4 linked regions of the Lepisosteus oculatus genome follow. The protein of the gene in region 4 binds, or shares a complex with, the protein of the main gene of each other region. Links are inferred from orthologs where the notes say so. Each region holds a gene or a part of one and is shown on either strand. Other genes may lie near its edges. The genes, in order: gas8, fbxl13, drc1 and ccdc135.

What was found.
Region 1: ccdc135 (region 4) and gas8 share a complex: the UniProt entries of both Homo sapiens proteins name them as parts of the nexin-dynein regulatory complex. The link is inferred for Lepisosteus oculatus from reciprocal best matches to the Homo sapiens genes DRC7 and DRC4.
Region 2: ccdc135 (region 4) and fbxl13 share a complex: the UniProt entries of both Homo sapiens proteins name them as parts of the nexin-dynein regulatory complex. The link is inferred for Lepisosteus oculatus from reciprocal best matches to the Homo sapiens genes DRC7 and FBXL13.
Region 3: ccdc135 (region 4) and drc1 share a complex: the UniProt entries of both Homo sapiens proteins name them as parts of the nexin-dynein regulatory complex. The link is inferred for Lepisosteus oculatus from reciprocal best matches to the Homo sapiens genes DRC7 and DRC1.

The regions. Positions count from the first base shown.
Region 1 is NC_090715.1:16,578,309-16,586,138, forward strand, and holds the start of gas8 (dynein regulatory complex subunit 4), read left to right. Parts: upstream 1-4,715; 5' UTR 4,716-4,831; coding exon 4,832-4,834; intron 4,835-5,234; coding exon 5,235-5,333; intron 5,334-5,676; exon of another isoform or gene 5,677-5,722; coding exon 5,723-5,920; intron 5,921-6,960; coding exon 6,961-7,167; intron 7,168-7,310; coding exon 7,311-7,365; intron 7,366-7,830. Other genes in the region: dbndd1 (dysbindin domain-containing protein 1), read right to left, coding at 1,410-1,440. UniProt on the Homo sapiens protein: Component of the nexin-dynein regulatory complex (N-DRC), a key regulator of ciliary/flagellar motility which maintains the alignment and integrity of the distal axoneme and regulates microtubule sliding in motile axonemes.
Region 2 is NC_090702.1:33,828,737-33,836,315, reverse strand, and holds the start of fbxl13 (F-box and leucine-rich repeat protein 13), read right to left. Parts: upstream 3,228-7,579; 5' UTR 3,160-3,227; coding exon 3,085-3,159; intron 2,188-3,084; coding exon 2,096-2,187; intron 1-2,095. Other genes in the region: armc10 (armadillo repeat-containing protein 10), read left to right, coding at 3,675-3,948, 5,382-5,527, 6,711-6,845, 7,242-7,418. UniProt on the Homo sapiens protein: Substrate-recognition component of the SCF (SKP1-CUL1-F-box protein)-type E3 ubiquitin ligase complex.
Region 3 is NC_090697.1:51,220,961-51,228,071, forward strand, and holds the start of drc1 (dynein regulatory complex protein 1), read right to left. Parts: upstream 3,185-7,111; 5' UTR 3,048-3,184; coding exon 2,920-3,047; intron 2,355-2,919; coding exon 2,270-2,354; intron 1,818-2,269; coding exon 1,705-1,817; intron 1,149-1,704; coding exon 965-1,148; intron 559-964; coding exon 421-558; intron 161-420; coding exon 74-160; intron 1-73. UniProt on the Homo sapiens protein: Component of the nexin-dynein regulatory complex (N-DRC) a key regulator of ciliary/flagellar motility which maintains the alignment and integrity of the distal axoneme and regulates microtubule sliding in motile axonemes.
Region 4 is NC_090715.1:11,489,405-11,497,504, reverse strand, and holds the start of ccdc135 (dynein regulatory complex subunit 7), read right to left. Parts: upstream 3,239-8,100; 5' UTR 3,181-3,238; exon of another isoform or gene 3,163-3,180; intron 2,356-3,162; 5' UTR 2,345-2,355; coding exon 2,199-2,344; intron 1,617-2,198; coding exon 1,442-1,616; intron 925-1,441; coding exon 799-924; intron 606-798; coding exon 411-605; intron 1-410. Other genes in the region: lcat (phosphatidylcholine-sterol acyltransferase), read left to right, coding at 6,599-6,755, 7,675-7,831. UniProt on the Homo sapiens protein: Component of the nexin-dynein regulatory complex (N-DRC) a key regulator of ciliary/flagellar motility which maintains the alignment and integrity of the distal axoneme and regulates microtubule sliding in motile axonemes.

The sequences.
Region 1 (7,830 bases), about 5.1 Mb from region 4:
GATCAAAAATTGCATAGCCTCTCATTTAAATTATATTTTTTTTCTTTACTTTGGAAGGACATTGGTTTGTTGTGAGCTCTAGTTGGAAGACACATAGGTGGGACAGCTCAGACTCGGGATCTAAATAAACGCTTCTCATTTCTAAATACCCGAAACATTAAGCTCGGTAACAAATCCTAACAACAAGGCCACCGTACTGATAACGATATTGATATTTGTAACCGTTTGATAGGACGATAAAGCTCTCTTAAGTATCTTGAATACTGCTATATACATAAATAATGGTGCGAGTATAAAGTAATTTGTTTTCCATCCATTTTACATACTGTACTTTACTACTGAATGTATAAGTCTGTTTATGCTGCAGCTCATGGTTTCCTTTCTTCCCTGACAGAATCTGTCACAATATTAAGAGAAGATCTTTTGGGACTAGGAGTTGTAAGCAGCATGGCAATTGTATTATAATTCTCTAACATTCACAAAATTCTTTGAAGGGGCACTATTAAGTAATTCGTATTAATGTGGAAATCCTTGAGACCTTTTTTCTACTGTACTCTTGTGATCTCTACAGTTAACCTATAAAGATAAAGATCTAATGATGGGACTGTTTCCTAGTTTGGAAACGATTGCACATTGTGTCCCTGAGCTGACAACTGAATGTAGCAAACGCTTTGTTTTGGGCGTTTTTGTTTTCTTCTCCGCTGGTCATTTTCATGGTGATCCTGACTTTTGACTCTTCCAGTATTCATATTATTCAAAACGCTCGGGGTCTGCAGCAAGACCTGTGCTTGGAGGGGGTGGGGAGGGGAGGGTGGTTTCTCCCTGGTTCCTCAAGTCTTTGTGTTGACCTGCCTGTCAGAGGAAACAATTTTGTGTGTCAGGCCAGTACTAAGCTTTGTGGTCCCGTCTGTCTGAGCACATGGGACCTCTGCACCATGACACTGGGCTCCTGGTGAGTCGCCCATTTAAATGAGCTGATCCTGAGATCCCGGACCAGCTTACTGGCTCTGCAGTTTTTACAGTGACAGAGATGAATATTCCAGCCAAAACAAAATCAGCACAGAGGAGTCCTAGGCAAAGTAAGACATGTCTTATCTTTCTCTGGCTCTGCAAGACTGTCTTTAGGAGGTAGGCTGTTCTACACAGTGTAATTTTATCTTGTGTTTTTCAGTGTAGTGATGTAGCTTTCAAAGCACGCTAAGACCTCTGCAGAAACACACAAGTGAGCTGCAACATTTACCATTAAAACAGACGGTTTATGCTCTTTTCTTCACAATTGTACACGTGAAGTCCCCGAGAGCCCTACAAGCAGAGCCAGACAGCAGCAGCAAGTTTCTTGTACTGAAAGGAAATGTTTCGGATCGCTCTAAGATCTACCGGTCTGTGAAACTGAAACGCGGTGCACCCACCTGGGGTACCTGCCCCTCCTTGTGCGTCCATCCAGGCAGGTGGTGTGTCCGGGGCTGTCTAAGGCAGCAGCATGAGACAGGAAGAGAGAAAGGGAAGGAGACAGCAAGGCAGAGCGAGGCGCTGGCTGCACTCTCCACGGCATCAGACACCAGCAACACCCTCACCGATCCTCACAGCCGGAGTATCCCCGCAAAATCACCACCCTGGGCATTGCACCAGCACAAACATGTTGCCATGCAAGCAAAGATCACTTTGCAAATTGCAGAGCCACGCTACACTGTAAGCATTGCATTGTAAATGAGCTCGGGAAGGGAGACTGCAGAAAAAAAGCAGAGTGAGAGAGAGAGAGCAGAATGCAAGACACACTGGCGATCATCCAGATCTGGATGGGGGGGGTGGTGGGAGGGGTGTGGAGTGCGAGCTCAGGGTTTTGTGTGTGTAGCACTGAGCCACACCTAAATCAAAGAGGAAATCATCCATCCACTTCCTGTTAGCGTGGAGTAAAGCTATTCATGTAGGGCTGGAAGACACCATCCAATTTGCACAAAACCTAACGCCCGATTCTTCCCATCAAGGTTTAAACCTTAAGTGCTTGCTGTTGAAATGAAAGTTTGATTTTTTCAGATGTTCCCATTTGAAGGTAGCCTGAGGGAAATTCCCCATTATGCATTCAGCTCTTCTGACATGGTTTTTCTCTGCTATAAAATTTTCATAAGAGTTAAACACATGCATGAGATTAGGGCTCTCTGAGTACCCTTTGTTTTTTGAGTGATTCTTCAATAGACAAGTAGTGTTCATTCTTTATTCTTAAAGGCATTCTGTGGAGTTAATATCTTAAATATTGTACACACTGGAAAACAGCAAAAAACTAGCATTGGAACAGAACTGGAATAACACATTCAGAATAATTTTAAATAATTGAAAAGCTTCAGAAATGAAGTCACTGCAACTCAGTCCAATTAAATGCTAGAAAACTTATTCTTTGCTCAACAATACACATACAGCTCATCACGAAGGTGCAGATGTTTGCTAGTAGTATGAACAACTGGTGATACAGTGATATGATGTGGTGTTCTTTTAAAGGGTTAGGGTTAGGGTTAGGGTGTGTATTTTGTGTTCTTTTAAAGAGGTGAAAATGTGCCTGGGTGGGTGTCACTTGTAGGCAATGAAGAAATGAAGGGCATAGAGCAGTGACACCCTGTAAAGTAATCCCACAGGACTCCATTTTCTAACCACCGGCGCAAGGCGGGATATGCCTTGGACAAGAGATGCCAATCCATCACAGATCTCGCTGAATTATTGAATCTACCAGGAAGTGAAATGTACAGTATTTGACTGGATAGTGGACTGGGATTGGACATATCACAGCATGCGATTGCATCACATCCTAAAAATAATTTGTCACCCTCCAGATTGTAATCTCCTGCTCTATGAAAAGAAAAGGTTAGGGGTCCTGTACTGAATAGCTGGTACGATTTGGAGGAGATACTGTGCTCTCATTGTTAAGTGGAGACCTGAAAGAAACACAGCCACCACAGAACATGTACTGTATGTTTACATGGAGTGAAACAGCGTTTGTACTGCGAAAATCAGGGGGTTTGGCTTTGCAGTTTATGATGACCTTTTCTTCTTTCAATTTTTTTCCTACATTTTCTTAACAAAAATAATACCTTTAAAGGAAATACTATGAAAAGTTTCTAAAATTGAACACCTGTGTAAATTGTTTAATACGGGATGTTTTAGAAATATATTTCACATTTAACTGACATTTTGAGGCACACGTATGCTTGGAAAAGCAGAATTATAGTATTATTCTTATATAAATTAACTTCATTTTATGCAATAAATCTGTAAAGCTCACCATCTGGGGCCCACATAGTCATAAAGGTATAACGAATGTGCTCTTAATTCACTGGGAAAGTGAATAAAATACAAATGAAATCTGAAATGCATGCTGGCTATTTGTCACTCATATTATCATATTATTCGTAGAAAAAAATAATGCTAATACGGATTTTCTTTTAAATTCTATGTGAAAATAGGCTAAAGAGTCTGGACATATGTTAATTTTGGGAAATGTGAATGGAGGAGCTGGAAATATCTGACATTTCTCTTATCAAAATTAGATTTTCATTGGATTTCTGGGGCACTGTCAGGACAGCTACATCACTGAAATCACTGGGATTACATTTTATTATCTTGCTGTGGTTTTAGTTAATAACTCGATGTCTAAGGCAGCCCAATCTCCTCTTTTATCTGTTTACCCTTTAAATGAAAGCCAAGGTTGATGTTTATTTTCGTACAGGATTATGGATAAAGAAATATGTTTATGTATTTATCTTTAATAAATACATGAAATATTTTCACATTGGTTGACTGTAGTACACGTACTGTAGATATCTAAAAGTTTTTCATCTTCATTTGAACGTACTTGTCTTTTGAAGCCATCTTTATTTACAAGCTGTCGTTAACATTGTCTTTCCTACTATTGTCCTAATTTTCTCAGCCTGCTGATTATAGAAGTACTTGTGTATGCACCATTTCTTTCACAGATTAATGCCTTTGATGGGTAGCCAGAGGAAAAATTAGGATTTAATCAAGACACATTTCCTTCCATCTTTCAGTTTAGGGCTGAGGGGAACAGAACCCTATCCCAGCAATCCGTCACAGTGCACACTAACACTCACACCATGGCCAATTAGCCTACAAGGGTGTCTTTGGACTGGGGGAAGAAACCAGGGCACCTGGAGGAAACGCATGCGAACACAGGGAGACGAGACAAGCTCCATGCATATATACCCCAGGAGCTGAACTCAGGGACCCAGCGCTGCAAGGTAGCACAGTCTAACCACTGTGTCACTGCACCATCCCATCAAGTAAAAATGGAAAAAGATTACTTCAGATACTTTTTATTTTTTCCATTCATAGGGACCTGCTGTTTTGTCAGGCCACACTTGGTACCTAAGCGGCAATATCAAATTAATGGAGACTTCTGTCTTCTCACTTCATCATCTATTACTGAAACAGACCTATTTGAACGAATCATGTCTTCTAAACGTGTCTTATCTGTTGTCTGCCGCAGACAACATTCCTCATTTTTGTGCCAGCATAAAAATGCTGAATTTATTTGTGTTGATTCGCATAACAAACCTTTAACGAGGTACAGTGGAGACGACTACAGTATTTGTCCTTCATTCACATGTACTGTATGCAAATCGATTTCATCTCCATATTTTGTTTATTGGCGTTGCCAGGAAACGCGCGTTTCCTGCTCCGTGTCCTTCTCGCGAGAGCACGGCCGTTGCCAGGAGACCGCTGTGTTGCTCTGTAGGCCGATGCTGCAAATCGCGACAGCAGCTCTGCTAGAACAGCAAAATATTTTCACCCCTGCCTTTTACTCAGAATCAATAGTTTCTTGAAAATGGTAAGTCTGCATGTATTTTACTTTTATTTTTACTTACGGTAGCTTTGGAAACATGATTTATGAGGATCACCTTGGGGTTGACGATCGTCGCTGTGAAAACTAAGCGTCCAAGTGAATTGATTTTATGCGTAATAATGCAGTCGAATAGTTTAAGATGCTTTTGTTAAACAACTCAGCTTTTGGACAGACGTGACGTCGTGCTACTGTGTGTGTATTGTGTGTTGTGTGTGTGTGCTGTGTGTATTTTGTGTTTTGCTCTGTGGGGTGTGTGTTGTGTGTTGTGTTGTGTGGTGTGTGTGTGGTGTTGTGGACGCTGCTGCTGTTGATCTTGAGTTCTGAGGACTCAGTAGTAAATCTGATAGGAGGTTTTAAAAGGCTGAGGCGCGTCTCTTATTCCCAGCCTCCCAAGAAGAAGAAAGGAGGGAAGAAGGGGTCGGCCAAGGGGAAGAGCCCCACTGTGGTGGACGGGATTTCCACGGAGGAAATGTCCAAGGAGCAGGTGAGCTGTGGCGATATACTCGTGCGCTGTCGCGACGTGTTGTATTATGTTTCAGAATGTTTAAAAGAAAGGCACATGTGACATTAAATTGCCAAATAAAACATCGTATAGAAAGTAATATAATAAATAATCATACTAAATAGTAATAAAGAAAAAAATAAACGACCATAAACACGTGTGTAAAGACAGACAGACAGTGTCAGGCAGACACAGACAGTGGTAAAAAGGTGAGTTTTGACTTTGCATTTGAGGAGAGTCCAAGATTTTGTCCCTGGCAGAGTCTGAGAAGCACGTTCCCTGTCACTGCTACACCTGTGCAAGCGTCCACTCGCTCTGTTTCCAGCCCCAAGGCTCGGCTCACCTCCAAGTCTGTGGCTACTTGTGTGCAGCTGGAGGAGCACATTGTCCGCCTGCGAGAGGAGCTGGACCGGGAGAGGGAGGAGCGCAACTACTTCCAGCTGGAGAGGGACAAGATCCACACCTTCTGGGACATCACCAAGCGCCAGCTGGAGGAGAAGAAGGCGGAGCTGAGGAACAAGGACCGGGAGATGGAGGACTCCGAGGAGCGGCACCAAGTAGAAATCAAGGTTAGGAGGGCTGTCTGCTCTGTTTGGCTTGCTAATATTTTTTTTCCCCTACCAATATTGAACAAACATGACTTAAGGTAAGAACATACTGTAAGAAAGGACAACTGAGAGGAGGTCTTTCAGCCCATCTGGTCTGTTTGGTAGTCAGTAGCTAATTGATCCCAGGGTCTCATCCAGCTGTTTCTTGAAAGAAGCCGGAGCATCGGCTTCAACAACATGGCCGGGCAGCTTGTTTCACACTCCCACCACTCTTTGGGTAAAGAAGGGGCTCCTGTTCTCATTTCTAAATGCACTTCCGTCCGTTTCCTCTGGTTCATGTATCGGTGCTCTATCTGAAGACGGTCGCTGGGTTAAGGGCATCAAACCTGTGCTGAGTTTGAACACCTGGGTCAGGTCTCCCCGAGAAGGGTTCTGGTCCTTCAGCCTGCGTGGGACGTTCCCTTGAGCCCTGAGCTCCCTCAACCAAGGAGTGCACTTCATAATGGGATGAAATAGAGCTGGTAAAGAGTGTTGAGGGCTTTTAGTGGTTACATGTCGTCCACTAAGGGCAGATTTGTCGTTTTATGAAGGTTTACAGAGTATCACTGGTATGATTGTTGGCCTCGGTTTTCTGTGAGGATCGTTATTTGTGCCCAGTTTCTGTCATAGTCCATAAAGGCCTAGAAGAGGGCTTCCAATCCAAAATCATTGCTGAAATTTTACATTGTGCATTAAATGATTTTCTTTTTTTATGAACATCTATGTCTCTAAGCAAAATGCTCAGAGTGTATTATAGCCCTGATGACTTCAAGATGCAATCATAATAACCTTACAATTTTCCTTAACATTGAAGAGAATGGTGGGTGCCTGTAAAAAAATAATAGGTTACCTGAATAATTAATAACAATAATTCAGTTAAAAAATACTTCATTCATCCCCAGGGGAGTAATTAATATAATTTCACTCTGATTACTTTTCATGTGGTTATTGTTTCAGAACTCGTTTGCATTGATAGTAGTCCTTTTTGTGCTGCTGCAGAATATTGTGGATTGTTTCGGCAGGTGTACAAACAGAAGGTGAAGCACCTGCTGTACGAACATCAGAACAGCACCTCCGAGCTGAAGGCGGAAGGGGTCATCTCTGCGAAGCTGATGCAGAAGGAGCAGAGCGAGAAGGAGGACGAGCTGCGGAAGGGTATGCGCACGCTCAAGGTGGATATAAAAGAGCAGGAACTCGCCAATGAGAATTTGGTCAAGAGCTTGAAACTGGTATGTGGACATTTTTTTAAATGTATTTAAAAATATATATCATATATATGTTTGTATATATATTTCATTTTAATTGTCCTCTGTGTTTAACTGGAAGATCGAGTCTTAATTTAAGCTTTTTTCTCCACTTACAACCTGAATAGAAACACGATGAAGAAATTTCCAAACTGAGGAATGATTTTGAAAGACAAGTGCGAGGTACAACTTCCTTTTCAATAATGCCATTTCCCTTCTACAAGTTAAGAGGCCAATAGATATGAGTAATAAACTGGGATTTGTGTTTGTCTATTTGTATTTTACTGTTTCGCTTGTAGTCTTGATATATAGCTCCACCTAGTGATGTAGATCTGTAACAGTCAGAATATTGCTGTGTGTTTTCATATTCGCTGTTGGACAGAGACTTACTGCCTTTGTGCTGAAACACGAGACAGAGACAGCTCTGAATTCATTGTCTCTGACTAATGTATTTCATTAGATGATAAATGAGAATGTCATTGTTTGCCATTCTCTGCATCTTGAATGAAAAACAAAATAAAATACTCTTTGCTGGAGTTTACAACCCTCGTCAGGAAAAGCAGAGTAAAAATGGATGGATGGTTAAAGAAATAGCTTATGTGCTCCGAATGTAGATGTTGCCTTCATTATTTTTTCCCTTGATACATA
Region 2 (7,579 bases), on a different chromosome or scaffold from region 4:
GACCTTATTAAAATTGTAAAAACTTAACCTAAATGAAATTAGAAAAAAATATGTCTTAAAAAATGTTGTCACTGTTTCACTTTCGCAGCTGTACCACCTTGTTGATCCAGATGAATAGGAGGAAGGTCATCACAGCGTGCAGGTGGAGGGGAGGAACTCTCTCCTTCCTAAGGGCAGCAATGCTATGCAGCACAGTGCATGCAATAATGATGACGCATGCCCTGCCTGGAGAAACCCCTGGACAGAGTCATGTAAATGTTGCTGATGCAACACTATGCATCACAGATCATTTGATAACATAGGAAACAATGTGATGGTGGAAACTTACATGATGGAAAGTCTACAGTACGTAACACCCATTGTAGGCAGACATGTTTAAAACATCTTTTGATATAAAGTTATAAAGTTATAAAGTGATATAAAGTTTTTATAGTTTTGGCTTTTGAGTGATCAATGTTCATATTTTCACACTACAATTTTATTATCTGTAAGTTGATGCTGTGAATAGATTCTCTTTTAAAAAGAGCCTCATTTGACTATATGGGGGCTTTAATGAGGATGACTTTGCAGTCCAGAACACCTTTTTTATTATACATAAAAAAGAATATTACCAGATACTGTATATACTAGATCTGTATTTCAAGAAACCCCCGTTTGATGGTTTATATTGTCAAGAAATGCAAACAAATGCATACACCACTTTACTTATTACATGACATACTGTCACTATATTTGAATTAACCTGCCCTGGAGCCGGTTAAGAGTAGAGGATATGTTGCTATAGTTACTTAACCAGATACAATTCAGTCTTGTTTCATGAAACTAAAAATCCAGACTTTTGTTAAAAGGTTTACTAAATTCACCAAATTAAACCAAGTAATCTCACTTTGTGAAACAGTCCCCCACCACTGTAGAATGATCTTTCAGGGAGCAACTCAGTGTTTCATAGCAGTGTATGTCCTGTTCACAGTGGGAATTTATGTTACAGTCTTATATCAATAATGTGACCTGAGATGGAACCCATTAACAAAGATTAAACTTTAGAAATAAAAAAGGACTGACCACAGAACCCATTTTGAAGAGCCGGTTGATGAAAGCCAGCATGTTGAACAAGAGACCAAAAACAATATTTTATTTCCTGGGCACCTTTGACAGTGTAATTCAAATATTTTTGGGAGTCTTGCCAGTCCTAGAAGGTTCCACACAAAGACTAAATATAGACATCAGTATTTGTTATTTCAGAATACTACAGTCAATTTATTTCAAAATGCAGATTTAATTTATCTTACTGTAAATAAAGTTATTATATATTGTAAACCTGTCGCTGATGAAGCATACTCTCATGCCTCTAAAAGAGAACAGTACATGTGTTTGCTCCCTTTATAGACTGAGCAAAGCTATAAGGAATCTTTAGACACACAGCTGAAATATTATGCAACACTGCATTGTGGTGTATGGTAAAATTATACTGGGTATGGTGAATAGACTGCATGGCGAAATTATAACAGGGCCGGAGGAAAATCATCTCGTTTCTAACGTTCTTTCACTACGTGATATGTGTAAAGTGTTTATATGTCCTATAGGCTGTTTTACAATAATCTTAAGGGCACGTCTAACGCTACAGATGCTGCTTTAACAATTAAGGTGAGAACGGTGCCCTCTAGTGGAATTTCTATAACCTTCTTTATACGCAGTTTATCTTCTAATCTCAGGGATTGTTCAAATACAGCCATTGAGGATATTTTACCATCTCTACTCTTAAACACTTTATTTAACTAATTATTTGATGACATGGACACAGGTAAAACCTTTTTTGACCTTACCTATAGTTAATGGGATCAACAAAACTCTCAGAGCTTAATTAGACGTCAGTTGTGCGTTCTTTGGTTTAATCAAAACTCCCAAGAAATGTCCACTTGGAACTGGTATTGATCCCCGTCACAAACAGGCAGGGCTTTCACTGCGCATACATCGGCCTGATGGGGTAACGGCGCTCACATGTACAGTACAGTATGCCACTCTGTAAGGATTCTTCCAGATTTGTCCTAAACCATTCCATTGAATAAAATGTCCCATCTATTCCAAATTTACCTACCAGTTCCCATTTTCCTGAAACTCTTTGATTTTCTCTTCCAAGAACTGTAACGGGTTTGCAGGGCACACAACACATAACCCGGATAACAACGCCTGTCGATAAAAAATATATATATATATCACTTCCATTATCATGAAAATTTAGAGAAAACGCACCTTAGGACAAAGCAATACATAAACCTAATACAGGTTACAAATCAGAGTAGTGTTTCTACCCTTTTCGCTTGATTCACACCTAAAAATCGTCAAATATATATTCTATTCAATTCAGTTAACTTTTATATAGCGCCTTTCACAACAAGGTTTCCCCAAGGCGCTTAACAATGCAATATACAAATATAGAAAATATACAGTTTATCACGTTAAAATGGAAGCAATTCATCATGCCTGGTGAAATGTCATTACCGATTACATATATGCAATTGAATGCCACACCTTTCGTGTTTGCCAGACTACAGTACTTTGCAATTTTCCACGCCAGTATTTTATGTACTATGATAAAGCCAGAATAAGTGAAACCTGTGCAGTAAAGAGTGCCTGGTGTGTTCTCTGCCTTAGTGGAGATGTAACTGTCTATACATATTGACTTTATTCTTGGATACTCTCGGCAGTGGATCCTTGTTCGCACTTCACTGGTGTATTAATTAGATCAAGGGAACAGGAATTCCAGAAAAGTACTGGAGTAGGTAGATATATCCAATTGTTGCCATGAAGCTAGTAATAAGAAATTACAATTTTGTGATGCACACCAGATTAATTTAACTTTTTAAATACATTCTATATAATTATATATTAAACATGTTTAATGTATTATATTATACAAGTGTTGTCTCTCGAACGCTGAAAGCTTAATGATAAGTAAATTCCATTACGTTTTGCAAAGCTAAAGACCATGGAAGGTACCCCTTATGGATGTCAGTACAGCGTGTTATTCAGTAAAATAATTGTAATAAAAGTCTATACTGGAAAACACAGAAACGTCAACCCTACTTTATAGATCTCAGGAAGTGAGTGTTGCATGATGTATTTTCTCAAGACCGGATCTGCTTGTTGCAAATTATCCATTTCTCTCTTTCAAAACGTACGATACTACAAGTTTTTCGTATTTTCTAAACTCCCTCTTGAAAACTCAAGTCTGTTTACAGTCACTAAGTAACTAAATTGGCTCTGGCCACGCCGCTGGCCAAACGAAAATAATCCCCGTGTCTGGAACTCCTTGATGGGAGCCTTTAACACGCTGCTTATGAGCTTCAGTTAATGCACGTGGAATTACCATACAGTATATTGATACTCTTTCGTTTTAATTATTATATTTACGACATAGTCGATTACTAGGCTCTAAAAATACCAATTTGAATAATCCACTTCATACAGTATTTCAAGATGAACAATTCAGAATCCGAGAGATTCAGTTAGAAAAACCCCGTGAAAACGTTCGTTCACCCTTCTGTTTGATTAGAGTCATGTCGCAACTGAACTGTCAACATGCTGTTCGGAAATTGTTTGTTTTGCTGAAGCTTACCATATAAATAAGTATTTGATCAACTTTGTGCTCTTATGAGTCAGATCTCGAGTCCACGATGGCTGACGGTGCCAGTGTGGCTCCCAGCCCGTGTAAAATGAAGGTGTTGCTGGGGTTACTGGCCGGGGCTGGAGCCACTTACGGGATTTACAAACTAGTGACTGCAAGTAGGAATCGAGCTAATCAATCCCGAAATATCGATGTTGTAAATGAACATTGCTCAGGAAAAGATGAATCCACGAAAGCGGTTTTGCCTGGGAGTTTGCTGGAAAAAGTGTTCGAGTTTTCTTCGATTCGTGGGAGAGATGTTCGTACAGGCGATGGTTCATCGCGTAAGTCTGTCTCTTACTAAACAAGTCTACGTGCACCTGCTCTGTACTCTTTCGTGTCCTGTTGTTGTTATTTCCTCAAATGGATCACAAAGTAAAATAAACTCTCTGGCGCTAAAGATTGTTGCTGACACCATTTTACAGATGAAACAGGACAATTCTCTGGGCAGCTCACGTGGTTATGTGAATTATTGAATATATTACATACCGAAGTGTGAGCATGTTTATACTGGAACCGCACTGAAATAATGAATGTAGTATTACCGACTTAGTGGTACAGTCAGAGTGATTAATGCTGAGCTTGAAGTGATGCTCTCACATTGTGCAAAGTTCGTAGTGACATACGCTGAGCGGCCAGTTTATTAGGTACTGTACATATCCCTTCCCATGTACTTGAGGGCTTAATCAGAGACATCATCGTGCAGACGATGCTATTTAAAGCACGTAGTCAGGTACAGTATCTCCGGGTCGCGTGTGTGCGATTCAGAGGGAGAGTGGGCAAGACAAAAGACTTAAGTGACACTGAACACGGGAATTCAGTTTAATGTAATGCCTCCTAAGTCACTAGATTTCAGTCCAGTCAAGCACCTGTGGGATAATGGACAGAGTTATCCGAAGTAGAGATCCATCACCAGCTAATTTGCAGTTGCAACAACTATGTGACACATTTGGAGTCGACATGGGCCTGTATCCCTGTGCAGCACTTTTTGCACCTTGTTGAGTCCAAGCCCCAACAAGTCCGGGCAGTTTAAGGGGAGATGGAAGACCAACGTGCTATTGGGTAGATGTACCTAACAATGTGACCACACACTGTATGTGATTCTGAATCATGTGCAGTTTCTCAACAGTACAAAGATGCGGTTTAATATATAGAAAATGGAAAAACCAGAAAAACAAATAGCATAAGTGCACATGTTCAGAATTAAAACCTTCTGACCGGCTGTTTCTTTACTTAAACTACTTGTAGATACAATACAATAATGATAATACAAGTTTTTGGTAGTGTAGAAAGTGTAGTGTAAATGAGAAAGCTACATCAAGAGCAGATCATAAGGATGTCTGTCCTTAGTGGAAATCACAAAAATATTTTAAAAAAACAACCATATCCTCTCAAAAAAAAACAGATGTATTCTATTCACCTGTTAATTTTGAAGTTCCTTAAGCTCTTGTGTATAGCCAGTACTAGGTGCTGGATACTCCACACACTTTACTTTCTTTTGAATAAATGTGCATGAACAGACCACTGGATCTAAAATTAAATATTTGGACTTCTGACTCTTGATTACTGTAAAGTTTGTAAAGGATGAAACTCCAGTGCGGTGATGGTCTTTTTATCCTCCCTGGCATTAATAGAGGTATTTAGATCTGCCAAATATTTCCCAAGAATTTAAAGCGCATTTCTAACTTGCTGTTTTACCTGTGCTTTTAATTTGCAGGTGAAATACTCTCAAAAACTCCTGGAAAGCTGGACCCACAGCATCTAGAGATGCTTCTTTCCCTGCTGCAGAGTAATCCTGACACATCTGAAAGAATGCAAATACTTGTCACTCTGGGCAACAGTGCAGCCTTCTCTGTGAACCAGGTACCACACGTAAATTAATTCAGGCTATAGGCCTCCGGAATACTGAGTGATTCCTGAGGCCAGAGGATCAGGGATCATTTGTATTTTATGCTCAAGGGCATCTTACAATTAACTCACTATAAAGGCAGATAATTTCCATAGCCCAGCAACACTGGGTCACTGGGTCTGCTTATCCTGGTTTCCATGGTGTTAAGTGGACAAGAGAGCATGTGACTCTCCTGGACAGGTCACCAGTCCATTACAGGGATTCCCGCCCCACAGTACTGGTCCCCATTCATACAGCTGGGAGAACTGAAGCAACTGGGATAAAGTGCTTCCCTTAAGGTACAACACCAGCATCTGCAGTAGGGACACAATCCACCTGTTAAGAGCCCAGAGACTTATCCACCCAAGACACTAAATTGCTAAACACTATAGCTGCTTAATAACACATACCTGTAGATTATATATTTAATCACAAACTTACAATATATTGTCAGAAATATAGTGCCTGCAGGAAAGGTAAACTGCTGGTACTTAGCAGTGTGGTAATTACAATGCAGCTCCAGAAGGAGAAGTCTTTTAACGTCACAAAACAGCACAATACAAATAAGTGCATATCGTATACAGAGCAGATCTGGGCTGTCCAGTCTAGATCCTGCTGGACCTTTGTGTTTGCAGGTTTACATTCCAGCTCGGCTCTTATTGAGCTGAACCAGCTGGTTGCTGACCTAACTGGACAACTTTCACAGCTTCTCACCTTTCGGGTGCCGCTGCTTTGAAGAGACCTAGGAAACCTGCAGACACACCCACCCTCCGGGACCAGGAATAGACACCTCTCGGGTAGATAGTGTGTGGTTTAAAAAAAGCACAGCAGTGGAATAAATAAGGGAGTTGAATATCGCAAGTGCAAAACATTGAGTGTCTTCCAGGTCCAATGAATGTCTGGTTTCATGCTCATGCTGAACTCTTTCTCCTAGTCTTAATCCACAAGGAAGAAGGCAGACGATTTCACAGGGAACATTCTTCAGCAATCAGCACTACCAAGAGTTTTTTTAAGGAAAAATGTTGCGGTTTCATGTATTCAGAGGAGAATCTTTGTTCTCGTTCATCTTATATACAGTAATGGTTGTCAGAAGTGCTTTTGTGGTGAAGTAGTCATCCTGGAGAATGGATAAAGATTGTATGTTTTTTCCGACTGCAGGACTTTATTCGTGAAACGGGCGGCCTTAAAATCATAGGAAACCTCTTGTCAGATCCTGTGTTTGGCATCCGAGTCCAGGCCTTAAATGCTCTGAACAACTTGAGCATGAATGCCAAAAACCAGGAACAACTGAAGGTACGTCTACTATGATTCACAAAGCTGCCGCTGCTCAGGGAGTCTAATCTAGTCTGAGCGCCTCACTATTCCATCTTTCAGCTTTTCTGTCTTTTCTTTATAAAGATTTTATTTCATTATCATTATTATTTTATTTCTGAAGTCTTATTGATGCTGTAAGTCATAGTGGATAAATTAATGATAGTCATCTATTTCATAGAGCTTAAATGAAATCTTTCAATGATCAAGTATTAGAAAATTCTAATACACTGCTACAGAAGTGCTTGAACCTTTGTAATTTCACCTGATTTCATGTTTATACAAGCTGTGCATTAGATATGAATGGGTTGTATTGTCTATCGCTTTTTGTCTTAATGTATATTCTACCTGACAGTTACATTTGGATTTTCCCTATAGGAATATATTCCAAAGGTACTGGAAATGATTGAGATTTCTGCTGTGAATTCAGATATACAGCTGGCTGCATTAAGACTGTTGACTAACCTATCGGTCACAAACGACTACCACCACATGATGAGGAACTCGATTACTCTCTTTCTTTCGCTGTTGGTTGTAGGCAATGAAGGATTACAGGTATGCCTTTCCATTCTTTAGTGGTGAGGAAGAAATCAAAGGAGTAAGAAAAAAGTGTTTAAATAATACCGTATTCTTGGTGTGGTTATGACACCAGCACATAAATATGTCACACTCAACACCTGAAATCTGTTATGAGATGTATTTATTGAGCTACTTTT
Region 3 (7,111 bases), on a different chromosome or scaffold from region 4:
AGCTCTTAAATTCATATTAATTAATTAACCAAATGTAAAGGTGCCACAGATAATAGCAAATAATGGCATTTACCTCCTTGTCCCGACGACTCTGCATCATCTGTTCCCATTTTTTGTGGTTGTTGTCTAGAAGTTCCCGACGTTCTAGTTCAAAGGCTTTCTGCACAAATACACAGCACTTGTGAAAGACGCATAGGGGTTTTCATGACTCATTCTTGAAATCCTTGAAGCATTTACCATGCTGTCCATATTTCATGAAATACTTAAAAGATGTGTGAAGGGATAAAGCTAACAAGGTTGTCCAGTTCAAAATAGAAAGTAGTAAATAAAACTTCTGCCTCTCCCAAAAATCCACAATGCCTTTTAAGCATCATTTGTTACTGTCAGGTAGAAATGTCAATAGAAATGTATCTACGGTACCTCAATCTGGTCCAGTTCTTCTCTGTAGGATTTCATCAGATTCTTTATCTGTTCTTCCATTCTCTCAATCATGAGGTCGATGTCTTCTGCTTGTTTCTTCAAGTCTTTAACGTAGCGATCATCACTTGCTTTCAGTTCCTGTTGGCAGAGCATGGCTTGTTTTGAAATAGGTTAAGTCTCAAATAAACATATTTGTACAGTACCTCTGTGTCATAACTGGGAAACAGCTAGAAATTGAGTGTAAAGAAACCACAATCTCTCCTCTAAGAACAAAATCTAAATAAATGAAAGAAAACCTTTTGTTGATTTCCATACACATAAAATAGTAAACAGTACTACAAGAAAGTTTAAGGTTCACACTCAAAGATGGAATTTTTAGGAAGAATAGTCATAATTATGTACTCATTATTTTTGCTGGGTCTCACGTGGTTTGTAACTTTAGATAAAAACATTTTTAATATTATGTCCTTATGTCCCCCATGACGCTGCGTGGGATAAAGTGGTTAGAAAAAGGATGGATCCCCATCATCCAGGATTTCCTTACCTGCTGTAGGTCAGTAATGAGCTTGTTCTTCTCCTCAATAAGAAGAGCGCATTGCTGTTGCTGCATGTTGAGTGCTTCCCTCAAGTCCTGAGGGATCTCCTTCATTCTGGCTGATGTCCACTTCTTTGTGATTTCCTCAAACTTCTCCAAACTGGTCTTGGCTTCACTTTCCAGCTTCTCTGTTCTTTCATAGGGCAGAATGGGTTAGATACAGTATGTGACATAGTAGTAAATAACTTCAGAATAATCTAGTATACTGTTGAGAGGGAATAGTTTGTGTATACTTCAGATAGCAATTCTGAAGGTCTTTCACATCATAATGGAGAATCTTCTGACATTTTGTCAATTACATTTACAAAAATAAATGATTACAGGTAATAAATGAGTGACTAGGAATAATTCATGGACCATTATAAAGATATTTTAAAGCTTACTGAACAGTCTTTCTACAACACAATCTAATCAAACAAAAGTCATCAAATTGTTTGAGAATCCTGTATTGTCAAACTCATGAATCCGCTAAAGTTTATAGTATTTCTACTGTAATAATAGATGTAGCCTAACATTTTCCAGATATTGTATTTGAAGATTTGTCTCTCAGAATATGAAGCTATTTGAGTAAAGAGTCATGTAAAGAAAGATTAAAAAAAGCCATTTGTCTGAGACTTTTAAAGGTATTGTAATTTCCTGCTGAATGGCTGTGTTTGTGAAGGAGGGACTCAGCTATGTTCCTCATGTACCTCTGCCTCCTTGCCTCCTCCTCTTCAGTCCTCCTCTGAGACTCTTTCCAGTCTCCTGCTACCTGAATATTGGTGACCAGCTCTGTCCCATCAGCCTGCAGTTTAATCATTCTCTGTGAGAAATAAAATACAATGGCTCAGTCATAGACACCTGTGCTCTACATGGCCTAAAGCTGTAGTAGAAAATCTATTTGTATAAAGAAACCATACGACACGAAAACAAAGTGTGAGTATCAGAATCAGCTAAATGAGATAAGGCACTGTCGATAATACAAATAATAACAGCTTTCAACACAATTCTCTACTATATTTCATTACAACATGTATTTACACATCTTGTGAAGCCTAAAATTTGGCATGGATCAAATTGAGGAAATCGGGTCTTTCAGACTAGATAATGATCTATTATCTATTTAAAAAAACTAGGGATGACAACCTTAGTGCTGCTGATAAACATATTTTTGATCAAGTCTTGAGGAATAAAAATCATATTACAGTTGGAATAAATTCTGTAAGAGACTTTTAATATGTACGATACTATTTGACATCCATAAGTACCACCAACCTTACAGCTCTGCTCCACCTGCTTCTGGCTTTTTCTCATTTCTTCCTTATCTTTCTTTTCATGGCTGCTGTCTCCTAGAGCTTCTCTGAGTATTTTGACATGAATGTAAAACAGTTCAGCATGCAAGAAAAACAGTATGAGTTCATTACGAGGGTTACAAAACCCAGAGCATTCAAAGCCATTTAGAGCACCCAGAGTTCAGAGCCAATCGCTTAAACACAGAATGCAAGGCGCGACTACACCCTGGACAGACAGATAATTACCCTAACCAGCATGTCACCCGAGAACTCTCACATTGCCTTGGGGAGATCATGCAGGCTCCGCACAGAAGGTGCCCCTGTCTCAAATCAAGTGCTCTTAGCCAGCAGCGTCACGCTTCTGTGCCGCCATAAACAACATACAAAACTTTCTAAGCCTTAGTTTAGTCGTCTATTATCTGCGAGACATAACAAAAGTTAATTTAAGCATTTGTCTAACTCGGGAACTGAATCGAGACATGTTTCGCTAAATCGTCACAACTACACGCGGTGCTTAGGTATGAATGCGTTTTACTATTTCATTATTGTCTCCATGATTCAGTTTTAACAAACAAACATAGCGAGTTCAAGATATAGGCATTAACACATGAGTTGTTTCTGGCTGTTGGATACCGTTTCTTCGCCTCAATCCTAGCTGCTATCCGCAGGCGGCGAGCGGCTATTCGCTCCTCCGGGTTTTCGGACTGCACCGATGGTCCACTTTCCTCTCGCTCTTCCCCTCCATTCTCGGCCTGATTCATTTTTCAAAAAGTGCAAACTAACGTGTAAGTAAATGTCCACTGATGTCTTTTAATCAATGCTACTATCTGCCAGGCGTCATCCTACAGTATGTATCACCGACACATCAAGGAAGCTTTGTTGTTTTCTTTGTTGCTAGGATACTGCTGCTGTTACGTCATCTTCAGTAGAGTTTAATGCAATCTCTGTGGGGCTGCTTTAGCAAATACTTTTTTCCTGTTTTATTTCTTTATTTTTATGTATTTATATACAGCGTACTGACAATCTAATTCATATATATATATACATCGTTGTAAAAACGTCTTAAGTTTATTATCAGAACTTTCGTGCAGCAGCTGCTATGACAGGTAAAGTCATTATGCTGATTAACATTTGAGTTTGATCAACGGGTCTATTGTACTGTAAACGTCAGGGGCTGTTTGTGTAGAAACGACACACTGCACATCCCTGCCACATACTTTTAACCATGCTGACTTGTGAGATTCTTTCCAACTTTCCAGTTGTAGAGCCTGGACAAGCATGTCTGTTCACCTGTCAGTGGTCTGCATGCAGAGTTAACAAGTAAATTGAATTTGTCGAGGCCACTGATGTCCCATCCTAATCACAAAATTATTTAGCTGGGCTCAGGTTTGACAGGTAGGGCATCTATGGTTTAACTGTCATTCTCTCATTTCCCAAGAAAGCTGTTGTTACATGAGCACCTGTCAGTGCCTGCACTGTCAGGCTGAAAGTGAATCACGTCTGGATGAGCCTGCAGGAATATTATGACAAATTTTGTATCGCCTAGCTATTACGGAATAAGTCATAACAGCAAGAGCAGCAAGCAATGTCCCAGAGTTTTGACATTAATAACAGAGTGACTTTAATCTGATGCGGAGATCAGTAGCTTCTAGCCCCAGACCTTAAGATATGTATGATGATCTTAGCAAGGTGTGGTTACTCACGGTCTCCTAGACTGGGGCTTATCATTGACGGACTGGCTTTGAACTGGTTGTGAATACACTACAATAGTGCATCCAAAACAATGATGACACATCGTGCTGTTATCTTGAGAAAGTAAGACTATGGGTTAATTTTTGTATTTTTCTTTCATGATTTTCACCAGAGTGCGGCACGGTGGCACAGTGGTTAGCATTGCTGGCTCACAGCACGGGAGACTGGTTCTGGACCTGGGGTGCTATCTGCTATTTCTCTGTGTTTGCATTTCTGTTTCTTAAGAACTTTATTTTCTTTTCACAAATACAGAATAACACAAAAGGAAAAACTGTACAGTATTATGCAGTATATACCTAAAACAGTATACTGTATATGCACACATCTAGAGAAAATTACAAAGCCAACAGAAATATAATTGCTGAGGTGCATTATCTCACGTCACTTTGAATCAATTCCATACACATTTGCTGATGTTTTTTCCATGAAAAATGCTATTTTTCCTTACATGATTATCAGTATCACAGGGTTATGAGACATGATCCTACGATCCACAGATTTTCTGCTTCCTCCTTCCCTACACTCCATAGATCTCTGAGATAATAGTTGTCTTTAATAATGACCAGGCTACCTGCTCCCTTAACTGGAACCTCAATGCCTTTGAACACCCCCATGTTCCTCACCCTTCAAGAGGACATCCTTTCCACTGTTCACTATAGCCCAAATCCTGTCAAACATGTCAGAGGGTAGCGTTTGACATAATAGTGCATATTATGAAGGCAGGGGTCAGGGAAAAGTGAAGCGAGGGGGCCTGTAACCAGTCCTCAAACTGAGCCCAAAAAGTCTTAGCAAAATGGCAGGACCACAGGGGATGGGTCACAGTCTCATCCTCACTGCAGCCCATTCTAATACATCGAGGGCTGGGAGTGAGACACCTGTGGTACAAGAAGGCTCATGCCCGTAAGCACTTGTGAAGAAACTCCAGACTAAGTCTCTGTGAACGTTGCACAGAATCCTAGAGGTTGTGTGTTTCCTCATCTTTCTTGTTTGGGCTTCTGTTAAAATGCTCACAGGGGTCAGCAGATTGTTATGAGGTGCGACAAGATCTTCAAGTTTTTTCTGCATTGAACATGGCCAGTTGGATGGATTTTTTAATCTTTTAACTCTCCCATTAAGTGCAGGGCATGTGTCAGAAAATGGGGCATCCAGCTTGGGTCCGATACCCCCCACTTCAATACCTACCCAAAGCCTAGCAAAAAACATCAGGTATGTGGTTGAGGTCCTGTTGCGTGGGTTTCCTTCTGGTGCTCTGATTTCCTCCCAAAGAGAAAAATATACTGGGAGGTTAATTGGTTTCCAGGAAAATTCACAGACTCTTCATGATAGAGTCTGTGAACACTGACTCTATCATGAAGAAGGCTCAGCAGCGCCTTTATTTCTTGAGGTGCCTCAAGCGATGGGGGATGCCAATACATGTGTTGGTGAACTTCTACCGCTGCACTATCGAGAGCATCCTCACCAACGGGATCACCGTGTGGTATGGCAACACCTCTTCGCGAGAAAAAAAGGCACTGCAGAGAACTGTCAATATGGCCCAGAAGATCATCGGCTGCGGTCTCACCGAGATTAAACAGCTCTATGAGGACCGCTGCCGTGGTAGAATTCTGGCCATCACAGAGGACAGTCACCACCCCGGGCATGAGCTCTTCACCCCACTGCCCTCAGGCAAGAGATATAAGAGCATATGGTCACTTACCACTAGATTCTTCAATAGCTTCTATCCACAAGCAGTGAGACTGGCGAACACATTTAGCCATCCCCCTCGGACCACACCTACACCATCACCATCTACCTCATTGTAATTTATTTATTGTACGTCTCCAGTCATTGTTTACACGTCTGTATTGTTTACATTCAAACTGTCTGCATGTTTACTTGCACATTGTCTATTGTTTGTTTGTACATTGTCTTGATGCACTGTTTGCACTTTGTTTTGTTTTTTACACTTGTTTTACAAACGAGAGACTTTCTGTAAGTAAGAATTCCATTGTACCAGTACCGGTTACATATGGCAATAAAGTTCAAGTTCAAGTTCAAATTAGCCCTGGTGTGAGTGTGTTTGTGTCTGTGTGTACACTGCTGGACTGGCTTCCCATCCAGGGTGTATTGCACCTTGCGCCTGTTGCTTGCTTGCCAGGATAGGCTCCAGCTCCTTCACGTGTATTGGAGAAAGAGGTTAAGAAAGGGATAGCTTTTCACCAAATGTTAAAACAATACCCTAAACATGTAGACTTCATTACTCCTCAAGCATGCAGAGTGATACGTTTTTTTGATGTGTTTGTAGAGAATATATGTACGTTTCACATACATCATCATCAAGCCACTGCTAAATGAAGACCACACTCAACACGGGTATCTATTTACCTACAGGGTCCAGGGAGGCAGCCTTGATAAATAGGATACAGGTCTGTACAGAAAGAATGTTAGTAGCAGTAGCTACTGTGAAATGCATATCATCAGTGTCCAGCAGATGGCGATCAATACAACAGAGTAAAGTCACACATAAAAAGAAGCAAGACTTCTAATTTTGACAAACATTGCTGCAGATGTCCACAATATATATGTATTTAAACTAGGAATACATTTTTAACATCCTTCAATGTGCCGGAAAATTGTATTTTTTCTAATATTTTAATTTTTTCTCCTTTCCTTATAATGACTTTGAGCTGCCAACATTCGCCTCATAATCATCTCAGATTATGCTCTTTAAAGACTACACAAAATTTGTAAACATAAGAACATGAAAAAGGCTACAAACGTTCACCCATCTAGAATGTTGTGTAGTTGGGCTTTAATTGGTCCAAGGATCTCATCCAGCCATTTCTTGAAAAACACTCTTTGGTAACAGCTTCAATCACGTGACATATTCCTACAACTGCTCTGTTAAACACGTGCCCCCTTTTCTCAGTTTTTAATGCAATAAGTGTCCAAAGACATATGCTTTCATAACTCAGTCTCAACTGTCTCAGTTTTAACAAGAACTCTTACCTCATGACATATAGAAGTTTCCCACCCTTTCAATTATGTATTTTATTGAGTAATTACATAAGAAACCTGAAGCACTGACAAATAT
Region 4 (8,100 bases):
TTCCATTTATTGCAATATAGTAAGCGTTATTGACCAGTAATCGCAATATAAAATGCATTTTACTGAATTAAAAAACACATTATTCTTAAACTGACAATTGAAATAATGAATAGCTTTTAATATACATCATTTATATTACTCAAAGACAGTTAGATGCATATTGTGTAAAATTGTTTAGACAAAAGGTTACATTATGCAACTGCCTTTTCTGCATTAAGAAACCTTAGGTGCCACTTAGGTTCCCTAAGACTTTTCCTTTGATTCTTTGTTACTCTCAAAGAGCAGACTTCAGTCTTTTAAATAGATCCATGATCTCACCCCCATTTGCCTGCATTATTGTAAAAAGGAGTCAGTTCCAACACACAGCAGGTGCAGGGAAGTCTGTTTTTTTCCATTGCCTAAATGCTCACCTTCTCCTGGTTCACCAGCAGGGGGCACTGCTGGTGTGTCTGGTCCAGCAGACAGAGCTCCTTCGCTGCGTAGCCGCTGACGCAGTATGCATCATAGCCCGCCCCAAGCAGCAGGGAGCATAGCAGGTTTGCGAACTCGAAGCAGGTCCCACGCTGGCACTTCAGCACCCAGGTAGGAGAACGAAGGCACTGGGGCTGAGGAGGATTAAGATTGGTAGAGTAGGCAGTCATACCCGAGATTAAACATTCAAATTCCAAATGCAGTCCGTCACAGGCACAATTTATAAAAAACAATTAACATAGCCAGCCATGCTATAGTGGTCAGATGACCTATTTTCTCCCACTACGGATTCTAGTTGTATTTTTCGGTGCTGTTGCCTTGACTTACCAGATCTACAGGGGGATCCAGAGGCTCGACAGAGAGATACTCAGATACAAAACACGCACAGCCACCCCAGCTGTACAGTTCAGGGTAGGACAGCAGTGTTGGGCGCAGCGTGGTGCTCACAAACTTCTGTGCAGGGAACAAGAGACAAAAAGTGAGTAAGAGAATAGACTTCACTCATTTGTAACCTCTTGTAAGACTCACCATTTCTTTAAAAAGGCAACCTTGATATCCTACACAAATAAAGAAGCTCAGTGCCCAGTACAAGAAGACAACCTTACAATCCAAAGCTTATACAAGTGCTCAGCACCAGTGGCAATGAGGGGAACTGCTGCTCACTGTTGTACTCAGGCTATCAAACAGTTCTGTAGTTTTAATGTAATTTAGTAGCATTCAGGTTTTTTTACTGACCATCCCAAAGATGCACCAAACCTGTGGCTGTTCTGCACCCTGACAGTGAGAAGATTTGGTTGAGGCTAAGCAGCTACTGAGCAAAATTAGGCTCCTGGCAGGACATAATCAATATCTGTGCCATACGAGATGTAGAAGAGCAATACAGTTTTCATGCAATTGCAAGTTCTGTACAAGAGTCACCTCCTCTACCTCATCCATTTCCTGACCCAAAAGTCCTGCCTAGCACACGTACCTCAACCCCACACTCATTGAGGGGATTCAGGAACAGAGGTTTGCGGTCAGGATACAGGTGAGCATATTGAGAGCGGAAATTATCAGCAATGGCCAGCAGCAGCTTCTCCTGGGAGGAGTTCTCCTTGTACGAGGAGGGGAATTCAGAGAGATCTATGGACGACTTAGTCACTGGTCTGAAAAGATGGACAAGTCAGTCATTATTATTATAGTCATTATTGTGTGCACACACTGCACACCCATATATTGAATGTCAAAGGCTCAATCAGTGTGAAACACAAGACATAGGAGCCCACTGAAGTTCAGGAAGAAATCTTTGAAGTTCAAGAAGACTTCTGTCTAGCATCCACTAGAAAAAACTAAACATCATGAAAAGCTGTACTTACTGTGGGCTAAAGGACATATCTACTCATTGTGGGCAACTAGAACTACAGCTTCCAGACTTCTACATCAAGCAATGACAATGATACAATCATTGATTCAAGACCCAGATTACCCAGATTCAAAAGCAATAGAACAATGTCATTGTTTTACTCCCACAGCTGTTAACCTGCTCAATTTGGATAATTAACTGTACATTTTACTTTTAGATACATATTTATTTTCTTATGGTACATGTATGTCTTATTTGTGAATGGGTCCATGTTGTGTTAAATGTATTGCGTACTGTGTTATGTCAGTTACCTGCTTGCAAAGCAAATTTCCCATTTGGGACAATAAAGTAAGTACAGTAATGTTGACATGAGGTTTGTACTCACTGCGGGCTGGCAGGGGTAGTGATGTGTATTTTGGACAGTGTCTCCTCCAGATCCTGCAGCTCTGTATTCAGATCTTCATCCCCTGCCTCCTCCTCCCCCTTCCACTCTCCAGCCTCAGACAACTGCTCCTCTGGCAGCGTCTCCATTTCTTACAGGACTGAAAATGAGAAAGAGGAGGACAACCTGAACTCCACAGGATCACCTCTCACCCTGTCTTCAAAGGGACAGAACTATCAATCAATCAGAGTTTATTTATCAAATGCACAATAATACAGCGTGCAGTTATTATTATTATTATTATTATTATTATTATTATTATTATTATATTATAGCAGTAGTTGCTGGCAACAAAATGTCTATCAATATCAATTACATCATATTTTTGTTTTACTATTCTTTATAATCATATAATCATATAATTGTTCTATCCATTCTTTATTTGAATTACCCTAAATATATCTATAAATATATACAGTAGGAGGCATCAGATTCCTCCTGTTAAGGAGGATTCCTTGTGCTTATTGTGTGCCTTGTGCTTATTGAAACAGAAGGCACAGAATTAAATTATCTACTGTAATTACCAAGAGAAAACAGTGTAACACAGTACACCTTGACATTTTATGTTAAATACATTTAACAATTACAAGTTTACGTCGTGCCACAGAACAGTGTAAATATATCCTTACTGCAGCTGCTAAATATTTAAGGAAGCTCGACCATTTTCCGTTCAGTATACAAAACTAAATAGTTTATCCGGTTTCATAATTTATTTACGGTTTAGTATACGATAGTTTAACTATAGTTTATAAACAGTTTCTGAAACTTCTAACCCCTGTTTTCATAAATCACATTGTTTATTTACTCAGCCGCATAATCAACAGGTACATTCTACTGTCACTGATTGTTTTTTACCCCTTGTTTCATTTTTAAACATGTAGATATTGAAATAAAAGATTAATCGCACCATTCCCCATCACAGTACCTCTGAACGACCGTCCCGTTTACGACCGTCTCCATGGCCACGGCAGCGCTGGATCACGCTGTTCCGTGGCCCCGCCCCTTGCGTAAGCAGCGTGAGGAGACGAGCTGCGGGTTTCTCCTGGTTTGAACTATTGAAAAGCGCGGACATTTTCTACATCTGACTAGTGCTACTTGAAGATATAGATCTTAAAGGACTCCTACGGTTTCATTTTCGATTTTGCACGTGAAAAACAATTACCAAATAACAACAAAAAAAATAAGGCCACATCTTCCTTTTATCTTCTGTATCTTCATGTACAGGCTACGCTCTTAAATACCTGACCGAGCCCCGACCCTTAAAAAGCAGAAAGTATTCTAAGACTTGATGATCTCAAGTTCTAGAAATCTTCTATTAATTAATTAACCCCCACCTTTTGGAAACAGCAATTGCTTGGGGGGGAACTCATGAAAACAATCTAAATGCTAAAAACATTGATCTGTTGAGTGCGGATTCCGGAAACCAGATTCTCACCAGAAATAAAAACCAGACTAGACTAGACCAGACCAGACCATATACGTTTCAAATGTAGCTCCCTCGGTTGTCACGTCGGCGCAGTGGATCGTATTGCTGTGGCCCTGGGTTCCATTCTGGACCCGGGGTGCTCTCTGTGTGGAGTCTGTGCTCCCCTACGATTGTGTGGGTCAATTCCAGGTGCTCTGATTTCCCCCTTCAGTCCAAAGACATGCTGGTAGGTGAATTGGTTTCAGGGAAGATTTGGCCCTGGTGAGAGTGTTTGTGTGCGTGGTTGTATCCGTGTGTGCCCTGCGATAGACTGGTGTCCTGTCCAGGGTGTATCCTGCCTCATGCCTGTTGTTTGCTGAGATAGTCTCCGGCTCCCTTCTGACCCTGTATGGGCTGAAGTGGTTAGAAAATGGATGGATGGATTTCTCTTGAATATTAAACAGTCACCCACTTTGTATCACATTTACGCCTTCAGAGGAAAACTGAGCCCAGGAACAGGCGGGAGGATTGGACAACTACACATGTGCATACTTATAAAATCAATGGGGAAATACTCTCCTGGAGTAGTTCACTTACGAAGGTTGTCCATTGAAAAGTCTGTAGTGACACAGTCATACAACTAGAGGTCGCCAGAATTGCTTCAAAGGACTGGTCTCACCTACAGTATATGAACTGATAGTTTTGATCATTGTCCTGGAACGCAGACAATCTCACATGGGATTCATGGTTCACTAGAAGTGGGGTTTAAACAGGAGTGCTTTTCTGTGATGGACTGGTCTCTCTCATCCAGGGTGTATCACGCTGTGGGCCAGTTGCTTGCTGGGATTGGCTCCGTCTCCCCCACCACCCTGGACTCGATAAAGCAGTTAGCGGTTGTAACTTTGTTAAAACTCTCAAAGTCAGGATCACCACATAGACCACTCATGTCCCATCAGTGTTGGAGAGTTCTATGTGCAAAGGTTGTTTGACCAATGTTACCAGAGTCTGCAATGTTCCACACTATGTAATCATTGGATAACTACATTGCAAATTACCCTGGGTGCCGAGTGTCTGCCAGCAAATAAAGATAGTGAAATATTTGGTACGAAGACATCAGATTTCCAAATATTTACTAAAGTAACCTATTGTTCTGCATGAAAATAAAAAGTTGTCTTCTACAGATAGGGAATAATCCAATGAATTGAAATGGATAACAGTTTGAAAGTATGCAGCTGCCTGTATTTTGGGGAAATTTGAACTTTCTACCTTTTTCCATCTGTATTACAAAACAGGTCTGCACTTGCAATCTCTGTGTGACTGCTGTTAATGTTTCACAATGTTCATATAGTACACATCAACTGTTTAGCTGGTTAGGGGATCAATAGTTCATAGGTGAATTAGATAATGTTTCTGTTCACCAATCCATCAGACAGAAAAGAAACATATTCTTAGGGAACTTCCCCTGTAGAAGAACTTCTCTGATTCAGTATAGGACACAACTTGTAAGTGCAAGCTAAATCAAAACAGACAGTAGCTTTCTATTCCAGAAGCGTATCTGGTTGCAAACAATGCTTGCTCATGCCTGAGTAACTTACCCGACAGAGGAACAGTGGCTGGGATCTTTAAGCAGATGCAGAGGATTGGATTTGATATCCTATCCTTTCACAAACAATGGTAACAAAACAAGGCCGCTGATGACATATCAGCCAGTCTTGATTTGATTTCAAGGCAAATGACTAAACTCTGACACAGTCCTCACACTGTCTGGCACTTCAGTCAACAACATTTTCATCATAGGCTCAGGATTTGCACCTTATTGCATCAATTTGCAGACAATAATAGAACTGCAATGTTGACACAATTGGTCCTGCGGTGCAGCCATAGATACCCGGCTCTCGTACAGGACGCTGGACTTCAGTGGTGCCGTGTGTAATAGGTCTCTTACTGTAAGAGTTATGTCACTTGTCTGGTCTGGACTGTGCAATTGAGGCTCAAGTGATGACAGTTCAAGTACAGGGTCCAAATACACACACTGCTTCTTCCTTCAAACTGAGTCTTGCTGGGGTAAGTGCACTGTTGCTCCTCCTAACCTGCCACTCATGGTGGCAATGGGATCCCTGGCTCCCCCAGGATTGAAAGGGACTATAACACTGTAGCGGAGGCCACTCTGATCAAGAGGTTGAACTCACATTGTAATGACTCAACAAGCTCTTTACCACATTCAAGTCCACCGGGCCACACAATTAGCAGTTACATATATATTCAATTCAATATTCCAGTAATTCACCAGTAAACCTGGAGCGCATTTCTTCAACTTGAGACAAGATAGCATTGTTCTGAGTGACTGCATTAAAACAACATTCAGAGTTAATTGAATAATGTCAGAATGGAGCAAAATAACAGCTTGTATAAAATAAGTATTTAATACCAAAAATACCTAATAAAATACCTGTTTTATTTGAAATAAATAAAATACTTTTTTATTTTTTAACCAAATAAAAAAGCTGAGAGGAGTAATTGAGAGATGAGGTCAAATTATTGCGAGAAGCATCTGTAACCCTTAAAGTCTGGACTTGCCCATCCCAGGCAGAAGATTTCTAGCACAGAGTGATTCCTTTTTGGCCCACTGTCCTCCTCTGAAAGGCTAGGCTTGCCCCTCGGTGTAAAACATTGCATAGAAATTGTTTACTCTAGCCAGAGCTCAGATAAAAAGCTTGTGATTTGTCAACGATGTCTAAAGCCGGAGTCTCATCAGTATTCAGGTGGTGGTGAGATCTGACTGGAGCATTCCACTGGCCTACAGGGTGCTGAGTGCGTACACTGGGCTTCCAGCGTGGGAGAGCTTCTGCCAGAGACTCTGCCCTCGCAGCCTTTTTCTCCATTGGCCCTGATAAGACAGCTGCAGAGGCTCATCAGCGCAGCAGCGAGAGAGAGAATCATGGGCCGCCGCACCTCTGTGTCGCCTCTGCTTCTGCTGCTGGTTCTGGGTGTCTTCCCCCGGCCTTCGCCCGGATTCTGGCTCTTCAATGTCATCTTTCCTCCCAGCGTCGAGCCCAGAGAGTCCCAGACGAACAGCACCCCGCCTCTCATCCTAGGTGAGTGTCAGGGAGGGCAGTCGGGTTCCGGGTCTCCGGAGGAGTGGCGGCCTTTTTGTATTCCAGGAGCATTTTTCGAAAGTATGCATTCAAACCTACCGAAAGCCGTGCTCTTTCAGCTGGTTTGTTAATGCAGTCAGGAGCGTTAAATAATGACACAAAGGCCTGCTGTTAGGTTTCAGAAATAGGTTTTTGTTTTGGGAACATGTGTTTTGTGAAAAGTAGGGAATATCGTATGCATCTTTGCGATTCCAGTGGGTGTTCTATGAATAGTGAACTCAGACTGAGAATTGGTTGTTTCTACTTCATTTATCATTCACCACAACAAATATCCTGCACTATACAACAGCTTCTAAAATAGCCTCTGAAGATACTATTATTATACAGACCTGTAGTCAAAGCTTTTCTCAGAGTGGAGATACTATCAGTTGGACATGACCCCGGTTTCGGCCTGCATTTTTAACACTTGACTGTTCAGGTTTCATTTGCACTGATAAGCTGTGAGCACAGCTTGCCAGGGGTGTCTCATACAGCATGCTGTACTATACTGTTGCACTTTTGGACAAATCTGTGTAAGGAAGTTCAGAGTAGATGATGGACCTATTTAGACTGAAAGTAGAAGATACTTTTTTGCTCAGAGATTTACCACCTGTCCCTCCTAACTGGCTCCCTAGGATACATCTGGATAAGACTCAGTCACACAGTTCTACTTTAAGTCCAACAAATAAGATGGGAGTTAACCTCCTTTAGTTGTGATCACCCTCTGTCCTTGCATTCTTTTTTAAAGTTAGACACAAGGGAAAAACTGGGAACGAGAATCACGATGAATCATTTACAGTAACTCACTCCAAAAATAGGGGAATAAATTGAAAGGAGGCATGTAAAGCATTCTGACCTGTGACCTCTTACCACTGCACAGTGCCAGGAAACCTGGGAAACCGGCTGGAAGCCAGGATTGACAAGCCCAGCCTGGTGCACTGGCTGTGCTACAGGAAGACGGAGAACTTCTTCACCATCTGGATCGATCTCAACATGTTTATGCCCATTGGCATCGACTGCTGGATAGATAACATCCGGTACAGTAGCACCGTCGTGTCGTAGCTCTCACTTTGTTGCCACCAACCTCACCATTTGTGTTGCCTTTCGTCAGGGGAAAAGGGCTCATTGTCAACAAACACCCACTGCTCTCATCTGCCTCTTCACTCAAGAGAGCCCAAAACCAGGAACCAGAAATCTGAGACATTGTCCCTCTTCCCACTCATTGCACCTTCAGTTCTGATCAGAATTGATCCAAGCACGGAGGCTTCTCTTGAACCACGCCTCACTGGTGATCAGACAGCTGGGT